2 linked regions of the Saccharomyces cerevisiae S288C genome follow. The protein of the gene in region 1 interacts with the protein of each later gene in a biochemical or structural test. Each region holds a gene or a part of one and is shown on either strand. Other genes may lie near its edges.

Region 1 (4,008 bases):
TCCAACAACTAGTACCACAATACCTTTCAGGAACTAGAGATATGGAGTTGATTCAAAGGATACTTGAAAAGAAAAGGATGCTTCTACTAGAGAACAAGTGCTTTATCACTAAAAAGGCCTACTTAAAATTGACCTGCTGTATATTGGAAACATGCGACATACCTGATTCTATTTTAAAAGATTATATCAGCACTTTGCGGAACACATTTATTGCTGAAAATAACGAATATGTTGTGGATGGTAGCAAACAGCTATATCTTGCACAAATCTTAGACATGCTCTTAAAATATGAGGATAGTATATATCTCGATGATATTTGCTTATTAGGATTGTATTCTCCATTTTATGAGGCTCAGCTCAGTACACTACAGTACATGAATACTAACTTTCACTGGGAAACTACAAGAAACTCAGAATTTCTTGAACAACTACAATTATTACTCAGGGTTCCAGATTTGCTGCCTATGGCTAAAGCTTTAGTAGTGAAAATTCTCTCAAGAAAAAAGAATACTTTATCCCTGACGACCTGCACTGATCTCCTAAAAACAAATAATAGTGAAGATACAAAACTTGCTGCCGTTTCATCACTAAGTGCTAAATTGTCTTCGCAAACCTTTCACCAGGTATGGAACTTGTTACAAGGATTTTTCGCCGATTCTTGTTCAAAAGATTTTAGATTGGCATCTTTAGAATGTTTAACTGCTTATCCAGAAAGTTGTAAGAACTCCAGAATACTATTACAACTGTACAACTTCTTATGGGACGATGATTCTGAAATAAGAGAAAAGGCTTCTTTTTATTTGAATAAGAACTTTATTCAAACTGCAGACTGGGAATATAACAGGAACACCAGTGTGACCGCTCTTATATTCACAAAAAAGTTTGTTGACGTATTCACAAGTTCTGAGGTGGTAGAAGAGTTGTGTTTACAGTTGTTTCAATATCTAAATGAATATGATATGTTTGCTGCCGAAGAATCGGCGAAGAATTGTCTATTTACTATAGAAAAGGATAACCAGTTCATCAACGAACTACAAAAGGCAATGCATATATTAAATATGATAAAATTGACTGGAAGGGATATCTCAAAGTGTTACAAAGACCAGATACATCACCTAAAAAGTGCTCTATTGGAGCACTTCAACACCGAGGATTTTAAAGATTCCCCACTCGGCTGGTGCTCTAATGCTGAAATATTTTCAAGAATAACGCTTTTAAAGGAACTGATTCAACATTATTCTCCTTCTGATTATGAGAATTTTATCAATGTTCTGACTAAACATTCTGTTCATCCCCTAATTATCAGTTATTCCCAATTATAAATAATGAATATGTACAGATATATACTTTGCATATAATCTGATTCATCTCTAACCTACTTGTGGATTTAGTGACGAGATTCATTGTGGAACCTATTACAAAGCATGTCGATTTCTATTCTAAATACAATGATGGAACTTGATTTAATTTCTTTACCGTTGTCATTTTCTTTTGAATTTTTTCCACCTCTTTTTTTGTTGAAAAATGTTCATGGATGGAAAATTAAAGGTGTGCCCTATTACAAAAGCAAGTTGTACCCCTTTACTAACTCTCTAGTCAATTTGAACTATTGTGAAAACGACAGTTGTGCTCACATGATATAACAAAAGTAATACTGACAAATGGCATTCCAAGATCAAGATATATTCATAGTGTTCTCGCATGCCTCCTTATTTCTTAATCAAAATGATTTATTAAGCCTAAGTCTAACATCCAAAAAAATGCATGACATGATTGCAATCCCTCGTCTTTATAGCAATATTCACATAACTAAGAATCCTGTTTTAAGAACAAACAAATGGTTTTTGGACGGGGGAAAAACTTATGTAAGTGGTTATAGATCTGTTCTGAAAACCGGTGACAAGAATGACATATTTTTATATGATAGAATTGAAAGGTTGTTGGAGACATCGCATTTAAAATGTATAAAACAGCTGACTATTGACGAGGATTTGTTTCACAACAGGGAAGAAGGATTGCAACTGTTACAAAGATTGGTCAATGAAATCACTGACTTGGACGTGATTGAAAGTCTTGACATCAAGGATCCTACCTTGTTTGAGTTATGTTCAGCAAAGTATTATCGCCTGTCAAGTTTAAAGAAGAGAGTAGTATATGGCGAAACTGGATTTGATGGTATCAAATTATGGCAAAACTTCAAAAGCTTAAAATGGCAATTACCTGAATCGTTGGATTTGCAAAACGTAATAATCCCTGAAGTGGGTGTAATGTTAATGAAGCAACTTAATGGAGGAGAGTTAGAAATAAAGGACGAAGCGTACTCAAGCCTAAGGGTCTTTGAATACTTTGATTCCCTGAACCTCCGCTTCAAGAATCTGCGCCGTTTGAAGCTTAATCATGTTCACAAACAAGGTGATGGGAGTGCTACTTCTATGAGATTATCTTCACGCGCGTTTAAGGATGTAGTTAATTTATCCAATCTTAAAGCCCTTGAATTAGAATTTTCTTGTGAGGTGGACGACTGTGAATGTGATGATGACTTTCTTCAAGATATAACAGGAAACCTTGTTTCCTTAACAAGTCTGGGGTTCATTGAAAAGACATTCACCAAAAAAGGGTACCATTACATGGACGAGAAATGGGACTTGGTCGTTAATAAGTTTATTTTAAATTTACCAAACGTGAGTAAAGATTTGCGTTTGTTAAGCATACGACATGACCCACCTTTAAATGGCAAGGGCATTGATACTGTTGATGGGAACTTGCTTCGCCGTAAAAAACTTTATGAAAAGGTTTTACCAAAGCTAACTTCGTTGGAAACAATAATAGCTCCAACTGTATTGCAGTCCATCACCTCATATGAAATGTATGCGTGTGACCTTTTGTGGAACGGCTGCAAATGTGCGTTCTGCTCCAAATACTTACCATTATTTGATAAGTACATCATGAATCATCAATACTTTTCGACCCCGGATGCAAGATACTTGGATATTATACCGATAGTGTTTGCAGCATATACTGGAAAATCTCTAGCTAAGAGGTTTGATCCTCAGAAGAACTGGGATTTGGATTTACTACAGTATGCCCCTGAGGATACGACGTGGAATTTCCATGGCTTTGAGAGAATTCATCACTTTGCAAGTTATGAATGTTATTTTGACGAATCCTCATTTGAGCCCTTAGCCACTATTATATCGCATTTTTTTTATCCTTACATGAACTACTTGATAAAGATATTGCCAAACCTTCGCCAAACTATGTTGTCAGGAATATACTTTAGCGTGAGCCCAGAATTACACACTTATGAAACTATTTATGATTAAACTTGATAGTTGTGATAAACATTTCTTATGTACATTTGTTGAAGGAGTTCGTATATATACAGCCAGTTGAGTAATAATTATATTTTACTATTGCATTTCATAATTATTACCCGGACCTTACGAGTTCTTCGAATAATAACCATATATTTCAGAAAGGTAGGCATACCGAAGGAAGAGACAATGAAAAAACTGAAATGAACAAGCTTCTGTATACGATCCAAGGATCAGAAACGGTTGTTATTTATTGTTTGGACTTCTTGTTGTTAGGCTTTATTTACCGTGCATAATACTATCTGATACTTTGAGAAACCCCTCCCCCCACAGAAAGGTTCAAAATTTACAATTGCTGCACTAGGTCTACACTTTCCTCTAGATTTGTAACTTGAAGACCCCATTCCAATCGTTTAACCTGTCTTTCCTTTTATTATCGTTTTATTCTCTTCCTTTTTTATAAAATTCTATCTGGTATAGAGCATTTTTATGTTGATCATAACTTTTCATGTATTCTATTAATTACACCACAACTTTGATATCGTCAAATTTTTTATCACTACCTATTAAATTTAAACAATTGCTTACGAGAACTTAATGTTACAACGGAGATTTATATCCTCCAGTGGTATAAAGAGATTACTTCACAGAGAATCAAACAAGGTTATGCACACTGTTTTCTTTAAAGTACGAT
Region 2 (3,170 bases), on another chromosome or scaffold:
TGGTTAACGAACACAACACTAAAAGGGCGTTGCACAAGGATACCGGTTCTTTGACATGGTCTGACACACTAGCAACATATGCACAAAACTACGCTGACTCCTACGATTGTTCAGGCAACCTAGTCCACTCCGGCGGTCCATACGGTGAAAACTTGGCACTTGGTTACGGTACGACCGGCTCTGTTGATGCCTGGTATAACGAAATTACCAGCTACGACTATTCCAACCCTGGTTTTAGTGAAAGCGCAGGTCACTTCACCCAAGTCGTATGGAAGGGAACTTCTGAAGTTGGTTGCGGTTTGAAATCTTGCGGTGGCGAATGGGGCGATTACATCATTTGTTCCTACAAAGCCGCTGGTAATGTCATTGGTGAGTTTGCTGACAACGTTATGCCATTAGCTTAATCACTGAATTTAGCGAATACATGGGTATGGACATGAACAGCAATGGGCACTGTTCCTTCTCTTACATTTCTCTTTTATAGTTTCAATTTTTATTATACACTAAGGATTCTTCTTTTCTAGGGTACGCAAATTAAATGCAAGCAAGATCATATAACATTGTCATAGTCTCATGCATGGTAAATAGGGTGAACGAAAAAAATTGGGAGATCTTGCCGACGGCTACGTATATATATATATATATATAAATATATATATATATATTCATGTATACTGTATATGTACAATCATATATAAAGTTACTCTTCCCTTTTCTTTTTTTTTTTACATTATTACGTATATACTGCTTTATTATCGGAAAGTAGCAGTTTAATTAAAGCAACTTCTGTTGTTTTTCCTCTAAAACACAAATCATAGGATATCAACTGCAACAAGATGTTGGATCATTTGTGGATGGCCTTTGCAAATTAATGTCTACTTGTCCGTTATTGCCTCCACCGATTTGTCTATTTTGCTTAGAGAGAATTTCGTCTTTCTTTAAATCGTATAATTTTTCACCAATATCTTGAAAAATTTCCTTAACCCCTTCACCTGTCTTAGCACTAACTTCTCGGAACAGCAACCCTTGTTCTTGTGCGTACTGTTTCGCTTCTTCAGTGCTAATTGCTCTTACTTTTTGTTCTTCATCTCCACCTTCGTTTGAATCTGGGCTTGTCTCAGTGCTAGGCGTTTCTTGACATAAATCCACTTTGTTTCCCAGTAAATAAATAACCAAGTCGTCGTCGCCTACCTTATTTTTCAGCTCATCAACCCAGTTCCTTGCCTTTTGTAGTGAATCTTCCTGCGTAATGTCATAAACAACTAATGCTGCATTAGCGTTTCTATAATACATTGGTGCCAATGACTTGTATCTTTCTTGACCAGCAGTATCCCAGATTTCAAATTTTATAACGACATCCTTTGTTTCATTACCATCGTTTGGGTGAATAGTGATTGATTGAGATAAAAAAGCAGCACCAATCGTACTTTCACGTAGTTCATCGAATGTATCCTTAACAAAACGATGAACAATGGAAGATTTACCCACGGATGAGTCACCCAATAAAACTAGTTTAAATTGCAACATCTGTTAATAATATATACGTTTACTCCAAATAAGTTAAACCTTCTTCCTACCCTCGCACTATAAAAAAAAATTTAGATATGTCCAGAGCTCGATATCGAAGCGACTTAACAAATAATTAATACTGACAGTTGGTAAACGGGCCTGTTCCCTTCACTCCCGTATGTTAACATTGTAACTTCATATCGCAGGGGCAGAGCTTTATAAACCTGAATTGTCCGGCCAGAATAGTAGTCGCTGTCCACGAAAGCAAGACACTATGAAGTTGCCGTTTGGTCTCAATGATACACATAGTGTTAAGAACATTGAGTAATTTGGAGTCAGATTGATTTCATTCCTTTACAATCGTGATGTGCCTATTTAATTCAAGGTCATGTGGATTTCAAAATTTAACATAATGATTTTACCTACCTTTCACACATTTGAACATGGGAACGCTTAAATATTAATTACTGTGCTTCACTACAATTACAAGAGAGTACGTATTGACGTTATTACCAGTTTACTTTCCATCATACTTATCGCAGAAAACAAAATATCTAAAAAAAGTATAGTAAACGGTTGATGTCATCAAGAAGCATACCTTACTCCTTATATAGAAAGCTAAGAGACACCTAGAAACATTGATTTGCCAAAAATCCACATTCCTCGAAATGGGGCCTAAAATGTGCGCTAATGCGCTAATAAAGGTGATATAAAGTTCAAATCTTGAGTATACATATGACATACAACCATAAGGCCTGATTATTGTCTATTTACTGCAATTTTCATCTTCAGTTCCAATCCACGGTATAATGAAATGTAATGCATCCTATCTTATTTTTGAATGTATTATGTTAATCGTCACGTTTTGGTAATGATTTCTAGATGCGACTATAGCATTTTTGGCAAATCAAGCGTTTATTTTGACTTTTCTAAATTTGGCTTTAAAATCCCTAAATTTCACAGTTACGACATCCTTAAAGTGGATATCTGTTAAAATAGTTGACCCAAGTACTTCACTCTCCCCAGGCATTTTGTTGATGTTGTTACTGCTCGCATTGTATTTCATTATACATTTTCTCTTGTCCTTTGTTCGCTGATTCCTTTCTCCATGAGGTGATATGTTGAGTTTAATCTTAAGGTATTCTCTCACTAGACCGTGCGCTTCCTCTTTATGGCAATTTTTGCATGATTTACTATTTTTATTATTACTATTATCATTTTTACTGGCGGAAGATGCTATTTTGGTCCTAGGTCTAACTACCTGATTTTTTGTATGTCTCTCCGAGTGCTTACCAGGTTCTTCGACCTGATTTTCGTCCATAACCATCTGATCTTTACAATATTTTTTCTCAAATGTCTGAGCCTTCTCCAATCCTAGCATTTGTTGCTCCTTTCTCCAAACTCTAGCACATCTTTCACTCATGTAAATTGGATCAATATCTTTCATAGTGGTATTCCAAGATATGTTGTTTTGGTCATTATCTTGGGGTTCAGGTTGAAAGTACGCGTTTTCCATCGGTGTTCCTGCATTATCTTCACTTTCGCTTCTAGACTTTTGAGCTATTCCGTCGTTCGCAATTTTAGGTCTGTCGTTATTTTTCTCTTCATTGTCATCCTTTACTTTATCCACTTCTGTTACATAGCCTATTACCACAGCAGCG

The links.
Region 2: the proteins of ROY1 (region 1) and YPT52 form a complex in vitro, tested with the Saccharomyces cerevisiae proteins (one study listed by BioGRID).

The regions. Positions count from the first base shown.
Region 1 is NC_001145.3:781,935-785,942, reverse strand, and holds ROY1 (Roy1p), read left to right. Parts: upstream 1-1,661; coding exon 1,662-3,323; downstream 3,324-4,008. Other genes in the region: tRNA methylation protein TRM732, read left to right, coding at 1-1,322; PET111 (Pet111p), read left to right, coding at 3,912-4,008. UniProt on the Saccharomyces cerevisiae protein: Non-SCF-type F-box protein involved in the endocytic with the vacuolar sorting pathway. Acts as a repressor of YPT52 by inhibiting the formation of active, GTP-bound, YPT52. Involved in the defense mechanism against methylmercury toxicity.
Region 2 is NC_001143.9:464,545-467,714, forward strand, and holds YPT52 (Rab family GTPase YPT52), read right to left. Parts: upstream 1,528-3,170; coding exon 823-1,527; downstream 1-822. Other genes in the region: PRY2 (sterol-binding protein), read left to right, coding at 1-404; YKR015C (uncharacterized protein), read right to left, coding at 2,417-3,170. UniProt on the Saccharomyces cerevisiae protein: Required for transport in the endocytic pathway and for correct sorting of the vacuolar hydrolases suggesting a possible intersection of the endocytic with the vacuolar sorting pathway.